Linked DNA regions of Xenopus tropicalis. The protein of the gene in region 1 interacts with the protein of each later gene in a pairwise test. Links are inferred from orthologs where the notes say so. Each region holds a gene or a part of one and is shown in the gene's direction. Other genes may lie near its edges.

Evidence for each region.
Region 2: the proteins of bag4 (region 1) and alg13 interact in binary tests that used the Homo sapiens proteins (3 or more experiments, as listed by UniProt). The link is inferred for Xenopus tropicalis from reciprocal best matches to the Homo sapiens genes BAG4 and ALG13.

The regions. Positions count from the first base shown.
Region 1 is NC_030679.2:132,223,734-132,228,765, forward strand, and holds part of bag4 (BAG family molecular chaperone regulator 4), read left to right. Parts: intron 1-2,559; coding exon 2,560-2,649; intron 2,650-2,741; coding exon 2,742-2,999; intron 3,000-3,890; coding exon 3,891-4,121; intron 4,122-4,943; coding exon 4,944-5,032. UniProt on the Homo sapiens protein: Inhibits the chaperone activity of HSP70/HSC70 by promoting substrate release. Prevents constitutive TNFRSF1A signaling. Negative regulator of PRKN translocation to damaged mitochondria.
Region 2 is NC_030684.2:51,806,425-51,811,456, forward strand, and holds part of alg13 (putative bifunctional UDP-N-acetylglucosamine transferase and deubiquitinase ALG13), read left to right. Parts: coding exon 1-59; intron 60-420; coding exon 421-502; intron 503-1,879; coding exon 1,880-2,060; intron 2,061-2,294; coding exon 2,295-2,370; intron 2,371-3,077; coding exon 3,078-3,186; intron 3,187-4,236; coding exon 4,237-4,301; intron 4,302-5,032. UniProt on the Homo sapiens protein: Catalytic subunit of the UDP-N-acetylglucosamine transferase complex that operates in the biosynthetic pathway of dolichol-linked oligosaccharides, the glycan precursors employed in protein asparagine (N)-glycosylation.

The DNA.
Region 1 (5,032 bases):
TATGAGACGGTCTCCTAAACCCTAATGACTTGTTAATATATGGACAAACATCCATGTTTTGCTTAAAGGGCAGGGCATTTCTTGGTAGCCTAATGCACAGAATGTCTTAATGTCCTATATATATTGAAAATGGGTGAGAGTAGAGGACCTCTTGTTGCTGTGTATGTATATTTTGTGGTCACAGCCTCATTGCACCCCAATGGGTTACAAATTTAGCTCCATGTTGTAGCTCCCACCCTTCCCAGCTACAGTCAGTTGATCCCAGTGGGGCCAATAAAAAGGGCAACCATTTGGGAGTTTTAAAACTGAAAGCAACCAGAAAAAGCTTAGTCCCTGTGAAAAATGTATAATGAAGTAACAGAAATTAGATAAAAATGAATGTAGGACTGGCCAGGACGGGGATGACTTTGATTTAGTCAACCAGCTTGAAGTATATTGCAATATATGGTAAAACAATCCCTGGGGGGGGCATTGCTTGGTAGCTCAATGCACAGAATGTTTTAATGTCCTATTGATAGTGGTTGAGTGCAGAGGTCCTCTTGTCTTTGCCTGTAGGCCTTCGCTCATTGGAACATTCAAGAAAGAGGTGGCTGGATGACAATGTAGAACTGGAGGAGCCTGGTGTCGCCAAAAGACAACTGGCACACTCGGGTAGTTAACAGTGCCCTGTAAGGGTTACAGTGCCAAGACAGGGAGTTAAAAAAAAAAACATTGTTACGGTCAGTAATGAGTGTAGGCCTTTGCTCAGACACACTCAGTCTGACAGGTGATTTATCCACTGTTGTTTTCTGGCTTAGCAATATATATATTTAAATATATTTTTAGGGAAAAAGTGCCATGTTTTCTTACCTTCCCCAGTCGTCCTCGGGCAAACATAGACTTATCTACTCATGTAGAGGCTGTCGCTAATTAAACTGGCTTTCAGCAAGTAACACCACATAAAACTTTAAAAAGTCGCCATTGCTCGGTGTAATATACTGTTTAAAAGAGATATATACATAGGGAAATAAAATATAACAGGATAAAATGACCCTGGCATATTATTTAGGGTCAGTGGTTCTTGTGATTTGTAGCCTAGCATTATCTGGTCTGGATTCTTAAAGCAACAGTACTTGAAACAAATGGTGGCAGTGGCAAGCAGATCCTGGCCGCTCTTTGCCTGCTCATATAATGGCAGCTGGAGGCATGAAGCACATTCTTAAAGCTGGGATCACCTAATCGGCACTGAATCCACCCTTGTGATGTTTAATTACAGTGTAGTTAGCAAACAAAAGCCGTACAGTAATGTCCGTCAGTATGTGTTCATTAAGTGCATGACGTAAGGGAAGCTCCTGCTGTGGCACGTTCTTTTGCCTGTCATTTTATTTTTCTGACTCACTAGCAATTCCTCGCCCTAACTCAGCCCCTTACATAGTGACAAAGGCAGCATTTCCAGGTAGTATAAACGGAGACTTTATTCTAAAATCAGCTCGAGCTGATCCAGGCTCTTCTCTTAATTCTGCTAAGGTAAGGTACAGTACTTGTCACTGTCTGTATATGTAATCATTCATGCTGTAGCAGGGGGTTGATGCGCATTCCTTTTGCCCTTTTTTATATCAATCTGGGGCGTTAAGGCAATACACACATAGACCAATCTGGTGGTCACTTCAAGCCATGTTTGACCAAACTGGCAGATGGCAGGACTGCTAGTTAGGTGCCTTGACTCCATTTGTTGGCTAATGATGAGGGATAGATACTAATTTTAGAGTGATCTTCTGCTTGGGCAGACTACACAATATCTTAAGGTGTGCCCAGTTTAACATACACACCAGGTCTGGACTAGTAATCTGTAGATTCTGGCAGATGCCAAATAGGCTGCTGTAAGATGCCATAGTTAGTCACTATGTATTGGGCTGACGGGGGGCCTCTGTGAATTTGTAATGCCAGTTACGTCATTGTTGTGCAACTTAGGCAATGGCACACTGATGTTGCGACTGTCTTTGCCCCCTAGTGGAGAACAGCAGAGGTCAAAATGCCCCTGTCTGCCTGTCACTGCTCCTGATACTAGAAAGTGTAAAGAACCCCATTGAATGCACATGTAGCAGTGAGAGCCAGGGGCACTTTGTCTGCTGCTGTTTACTATGGGATGCCAGTGGTAGACCAAACACCATGTGGGATGTAGGGTACTTTATAATGTCTTTGGCCTTTTGCTTGTGGTGCGTTCAAGGTGCCCTCAAACTTAGCACACTGTGAATACAAGTAACAAGTGCAAGGACACACTTTGTTTCTGTACCCAGTCCATCAAGTAAAGATCAGATTCCTATTTGTTCCTTACGTTCATCCACCTAGGTCAGCCCTGATACTGCACAAATTACTAAATGTTTGTTTCTAGCATTTCCAACACTAAAGCATTTCAGGCGTTTGCCAGCCCTACTCAATTATAGTACAATAAGTAGATAGTTATGGGACATTTTTGGGGGAGAGCAGCACCTGTTTCTGTAATATATTTAGCCCACAGCTAATACAAACACATATATATCTCATACCACATGGCACTTTTCTGTTTTTCAAATCTTTCAGAACTCATCATATCCCGGCTACAATCCAAACTGGTCCTGTTCTGGCCATCCACGGCACCCATATCCCACTAACTACCCTGCTAGAGATCAGGTATGTGTATATAGACTTAAGACACTGACTCTTGGGTCTCATATTTAAAACCTCATTGCTGCATAGGTGACTTTTCTTCTACTACTTTCTAGGTACAGAGGATGGAACCCTACACAAATGGCTCCTATGCATCTCCTTATGCCCCAGGCTCTATGAATCCCCCTTATGCTTGTGTCCCCCAGCCAAATCAATACTACCCTCCTCCTTCACAACCCCCTTATTCAGTCGATCCCTACAAGCAGTCGGGGGGGAACCCTCAGGCACAGCCTCAGTGGGGTTACCCTCCTCAACATGGCTATCATGGTGTCTCCCAACATCCGCAGGGATACTCACCATATGCTCCTCATCAGGTGAGTAGATGGAATATATAATAAAAGGAATCCCCTTCCATTGTGCATTCAGTAAGGATCTACATTGGGAAGCAGTTGGTGGTTGAATGGGGCATCCCAGACATTGCTCATGACATCACAGGGATTCCCAGTGGCCATATGGTGGTTCAGAATCTACCATCTGGTAATATATCAGATACAGACGCTTTTACAATTCCCTGGTAAGGCAGGTAGCAAACACTCTGCATAATTTGGAAGTTGCTTCAAGGTGTATTTAGTTAAAATAATAGTAGGTGCCATACCTGTATCGGTTATCGGAGGCTTGATGAGGCTAGATTTCATTTTTTTATGCCTTTCTTTTGTTTAAGATGTTTCATATTCTTCCTGTGTGGTTGCTTAATAGCAGTCTATTATGTGGTAATTTATGTGGTAAACAGGATTGCTTCAGAACAAGGAAGTGAAAAAAAAAATATATATATAGTTCGAACAGGTAGGCACTCACGATAAAACATCTCTTATTGTCTGGGTGCAGTCCTCAAATTTCTAAATAGATACTCGAACCAAATGGGCCGCTCCACACAGGACTTATGAGAAAACAACGTAATTTATTAGAAGTATAACAAGACTGATGTTCTTTCTGCAGGAGCAGGCGAAACATCAGTCTTGTTATACTTCTTATAAATTATGTTGTTTTCTCATAAGTCCTGTGTGGAGCGGCCCATTTTGTTCGAATATATACCCATGTAGATATAGATATAATATAAAATAAAACAATGGCAAACTTTTATTGACTACTATTTGTTCATTTTAAAATGAACTTTACTTTCAAGAAACAACACATTTTACAATACTCAGACCTTTAGAAGGACCAGCCAATCAAACCAATAAACTAATGTAAAAATTTGTTTTTAGCAGGAGACAGTCTCTGCCTACCAGTACCGAGAAGCAGCCTCTGGCCTCCACCAACCAGCAATGCCTCAGCACAGTCCCCAAGGTGAAGGCTGGGTTTATGGAGTCCCCAACCCTTACCATTGGCCCACTGCTCCTCCTGCTCACCACAATCCGGCCAACAGCCATTATGTCCCTGGGGGCAGAGCAGGGTGGCCTGGAGCAGACATACCAAATGCTTCGTATGATATAAAGGTAGGTGGAGCTACATAAAATTGTAAACATGTAGAATCTGTGTTGCTGGCACTCTCGCTGGTAGTTATAGGGAAGTAGGCATTAGCCACAGCTTGGATCTATTGTGCTGCTGCTTTTCACAGACTCTAAGCTGCAAATGGCATTTAGGGGATATGTAGTTATATGAAGGTAAAGTCACTGGCACAGAAAACCACAGCAACTCATCGGCTGTTAAAATAATAAATACAAACACCTGACTGGTTTCCATGGTTACATAACTAGGGCAAACTTTGTGCTAGCATTACATAGCTCTTTTTGTAATCCCAGGTTTTACTCCAAAGTGAAGTATGCTTATGGCATAGCAGATGCATGGTTTTTCAGGGACATGCTCCTCCGTGTTTCTGCTGTGCCACAAACATGGACTTATTTATTCATTTCCAAGTTTGTGAATTCAAGGGTTTTTTTTTCTAATTTGAGTAAAGACTCGAACGCTTGCTTATTTATTAAGATCAAATAAAAAAAACTGGAATACCTTGAATTTTCAAGTTTACAAAAAACACAGACAACTCTGAAATCTCTTGACTTTGCCTAGGACAACTGTCATTGATTTCTTCAAGCTTTTGGCTGCCGAATTTTTAATTAAAATTTTTGCACTTAATAAATACCAAAAACTCAAGTTTTTGAACCATAACTTGAATTTTGGGAGTTTGCCCTGGCTTCCATATGATATTGTATGTGTTTGTTTATTGCTGGTAGTTGCTGAATTAACTATATAAATTAGCAGCAGTATATAACATTTCTTAAATGTACTGATTTGGTAACTATTATTATTTATTATTTCAGGATCCATCACAGGCATCTAATTACAACAGACAAAGACCTCCTTATCAGTCATACCACCCTGAGACACCCCAGACCGTCACACCTTCAGA
Region 2 (5,032 bases), on another chromosome or scaffold:
TATATAAAAGCCCTGGAAAACAACCTACATATGCAACAGATAACAACTGGGAGGGAAAGGTGAGAATGAACAATTTGATGAATTATTATATGGACTTATTTAAAGGTACAGTACCCCAATATTTATTAAGTGGTTGAAGTGGTCTTGTGTATATTAAGTCTTCTGCACCCTCTCTAAAATACTTGATTTAAGGTTTACCCCCATTTTAAATCTAGTGGCTGCAGCTCTCCAAAAATAAGGGCTAAATCAAACGTTTTTATAGAGGCTGGAGGCTGAAGTCACTTACACCTTTACTGATTATTATGCCTGTGCATCTTTTTGCCAGAATATGCATTGCCTTTTAAGTTTCCATTAGTCTCTGATAAATACTTTTTTTCTAATTGGGTACTCATGAATGCAGTTTTTTTCTGTTCTGTTTAGATAATGTTATGTTGCTCAAGCAATGGGCATTATGACTCTGTATTTACCAAAGCATTCCAAGCTAATGCTGCTATATGTCAAGGTAAGTATATAAACTCACTTTCCTCACTTTTTTGTTTTGTCTCTCTATTTCTTTCTTTCTATACTCGGAAGCTGTGATTGTCAGTGCAGCTGTCTTTGGCAACCTGTAAATACAAGATTCCACTAGATGGTACTAAAAGCCAAGTAGAAGTCATAGATTAAATTTGCAGAAAACCCCTCTTGCTTGGCAGTATATTATATAATGCATAATATATGAGGTATGCAACACTGGGGCACTTGTCACCTCACTTAGGGGCAGATTTACTAAGACATGAACGCTCAAAGCGTTCGAACGCTCCAAGCGTATTTTCTCCAAATTTTTTAATGCCCAAGTGAGCCCAAGTGACTTTTTCGTACACTTGCGCAAAAAATTCGGAAAGGTTTTCCCACTTACAATTGTTCAGTACGAAAATTTCGTGACTTTTGGATCGCCAATACGATATTATCATGACTAATACGATTTTTTTGTAAGCATTTTCATGATATATGCGATCTTCAGAAACTTTCATATCCAATCTGAATTTATCCCATTCGGGATTTGAACTCACGTTTTTATGAATGTGCCCCTTAGTGTAGAACTTAAACCGCTATAGTTTTCTTAAATGGTCTGGCTTTTCAGGAACATTTTGTACCAGAATTAGCCAGAATCATTATGCTGCCTCTTTGCTCAGTGTGGAAATCTGCTACTATGTTGCTATGGCATCTATTTAGACTTGATACTTTTCTTTCACAATTGGCCCTTGTCAGCTGGCTGGTCCTACTAGTGCAGGTGTTTAATTAAACAAATAATGAAAAATGCTATTGTAAGCTACTGTATACAATAAAACGTTCCCAATGGTTTGAGTTAATTGTAATTGAAATCAGTATTTATTTGTCCATTTTTTACTGCTGGATTTCGCTCCCGGAACATTGTAACAAAGACCAGCTCTCTTCCATGCAAGACTTCAATTTCCTTCTGCTGCATTGTGTAAAGAGTCAGAACTAGCAGCGCAGAGAATGCAAATGGACAGATAAGAACTGCTTTCAATAGCAATCACATTTGCAAATATCTCCAAAACTACTGTACATTATTTAAGTTGTTTAGAATAAAATTTTTCATTATGCAAAAAAGAATACTGAGTACAATTTCCATTTTGTAGATCTGTTGTAAGAAGTTAATTTCTCCAATAATGATGATTTGTCATAAACCACTAATAATAAAAAAGGCTCCTCTGAATCTCTTAGACGATAATAAAACGCTTTCCTAAAATACACGACATACCAAAATCATGGTATTACTCCTGATGAAGGACATTAGGTTGTAATTAAGTTGACATTTGTATTAACTTATTTCCCAATTGTTGCAAAATCTGTTTTAATAAATTGCTTGCCTACATAGCCGTTCTGTATGAGTGCCTATATAGAGATGTTTTTGGTGTGGATGAAAGAGAGCTGCTTGCAGCCGTTGATCTCTTCCGAAGTGGTACAAAGAAGAATCGAAATAGTGCTTCCACTGGTAGTGAAGATGCCAACTTTGACTGCTCTCCAGAACAAACATCAAAACAGTCGTCTGATAACAGGTAGATATCTATCTCAGCTTTTAGCCATACTGCCTGACCATCTATAGCAGGTCGGGCATTGGTTTCAACAGACCATCCAGCAATCTTGTTGGGACACATTTGAAGTGCCTAAAATGCCCGAAGTGCTGATACATTTTTCATAGGTACATCTTTGTTTTTTCTGGCACCAAGATGTTAATTTGTTGTTTTGCTGAATTAGGAAGTAATATTAATTTGTTTTTTTTTTTTCTGCAGGGTTAAAGATTGGGAAGTTAAAGGTGGTGATAATTTCTTGGATGACAAATCCAGACAAACCACAGATGACGTAAAGGTTATTTTTTTTTTTTTCTTTATATATATATAAAGGTATTGGTTCTAAGTTGAGATTATTTTGGAATTCGGAAGTTCCTTAGAAAAATAACTTGAAACATTATTTTAAAAAATAGCATTTTTTTGCAATAGATATATATGCCAGCTCATGCGTTAAGTCTGCATGTTAATGTGAATCTTCTGGTCTTTGCATGCCCAACAACCTTGCCTTTTGGAAATCAATGACATTTATATCACACCCTGATTCTTTTAGCGCGACAAACTATTCTGCCTCAAAATCCCCTAAATATGGTTAGCTGGGGGTGAAACAGTCCTGTAATAAGTAATTTGTGCTGTAAGGTCAGACAGGGCCTCAAAATACATAAATGTATCTTAAAGGTTAACATGTCATAATTGGTGCTTAGTGATGTAATTTCTGTAGGACAACTCATTGAAATTTGTGTATATTATAATAAATAATATCCCCCTTTATAAAAGCACTCGGCCTTGCATGTACAGCTAGGCTTAGCTAAATACAGCTGTACTTGTCCTTGGAAATATAGCATAATGCTCAACTGTCCATGTACTGTAAATTGACTTTCTAGTAAGTCTTTCAGCTGAAAATTGTGAATATTTTAGATACTGTTTGATTTTTGAAACCGTTTGTTTCACATTTATTAAAATAGTAAAATGCTCACGTCTAAATTTTTTTTTTTTTTTTTTTGACAGTCCACAGAAAATCCTAACAAGATGCCCTTCCCATATAAGGTTTTGAAAGCCCTTGACCCAGAAATCTACAGAAATGTAGAATTTGATGTCTGGTTAGACAGCAGAAAAGGTACATTTTTTCATAAATGCATGCATACATACATGCTGCAAAGGCTCCCTTTATGTTAGTCTGTGACATTATTAAAGTTGTAAAGACACACACAGTATTTTCACAGCACTGGTATAATTAAGTTCAGTTCTTGCAGTGCAGTCCTTTCATTAGCCAAGAACTGTAGTTTCTAAAAGTTTGAAATGATTAATTTATATAAAATGTATCTCTATTTATAACTCTTAAGTAAAAAAAAATGTAAATGATATAGTGGAGCTAAGCAGACCATGGAACTGGCAAGTATAGATAGATATATTAATAGGTTTTGCAAAAACATAATTATATTAAGTTGAATGTTCTGAGGCTCTTCAAGTTTTTTTTGTTTGTTTTTTTAAATTCATAGCTTACCACAAATCTGGACTATGGGACATGTTTGCTAAAGTGTGATTTTTCTCCTTGTCCAACTTTACCAAAGTTTGCCTTAATTATCCAGTTATATTTTCACAACATATCTCCTACATACTCAAAATTGTAATAGAAATGTGCCATAAAGAAATGTGCTATAAATTCCCCATAGGAGAGAATTGTTGCCTTGAAGAAATGAGGGGGAAATAGCATGGAAGAAGGTAATGTAGATAATGAAATGCAAACGTTGGCTGCTCTAGCTTTATAATGGCAGCTTGTCAGCTTGATCCTGGAGAATTTTTTCTAGAAAAAAATCATCTTTGTACTCTTAGTAAATTGGTCCACTGGTGAAATTTTGTCTTGCAAAAATTTGTGAATTTTCACCTATGCAAAGAGAATGTTTGCCAGTGCAAAGTTAATTTGCCAAAAATTGTTGTATTCAATTTTTAGTAAATCGCAGATCTCTTAGAGACTTATTATTTTTGGAGAAAATCATTTAACTGCTAAATGTTTTATAGTGTGATTGTTTTGCAGTTCTATTATTTTACATAGCTGAACACTTTGTCCTTTATGCCCTGCCATTGTTCTGAAATGCCTGCTTTAATGTTCTTGAATTAAGAAATATGAATATCCGAAACTTAAATGTGGTACAATTTCCCTTTGTAGAACTTCAGAAAACGGATTACATGGTGTTTGCTGGAAGACACTATTGCTTAGGTGATAAGTGTCAGGTAAGATTTTTCTTTATATATATAATTTTTTATTTATATATGAAAGTCAGTCAGTTGGTAGCCCGTGTCTATATCTATACAAATGACAGAGAAAAACAGTATCCTTAAACTATATACTCACATCTTTAAATACAGCCATATTTATAGAGTCTTTGGATGATTCATGCTGTGCTTTCTAAAAGAGAGAAAGATAGAGGAATTCCATAACATGCCTCATACCTGGGCTAATTATATTTATTTATTTGTTTTGGCAGCTCACCTTATTACTATGCTGTATGTGTTTGTGTGGTTACATATGTTAGTAATAACCTTGAAAAGACAAAAGTGTATAACCATGATAGCAAAAATCAAATCATAAAACAAACCTAGTTATGATTACCATAATGTAATTTGCTTTTTTTCATTATTTGAATAACAAAAAAAGTTGTATGGATTGGTATGAAAGTCCTGAGAATGGATACTACTTGTTCATCTCTCTGCTTTATGCTTTATGCATAGCATACCTTGGTGTCCTAAGACATGATTGTACATTGTAGTGTTATAGACACAAAAAGAACCTAGAACTGGCACACCTAGTTAAGTTAAAATATAACTTTTACTTCTAAGTGGTTAAAATCCTGCTAAAATAGATAGAAAAGACAAGAAAGGAAAATTTAAAATTCTAACTCACACCTTGAACATGTTTCAATTCTCACGGTTACTCTCCTGCATACTGTTGCTTATAAAGTATC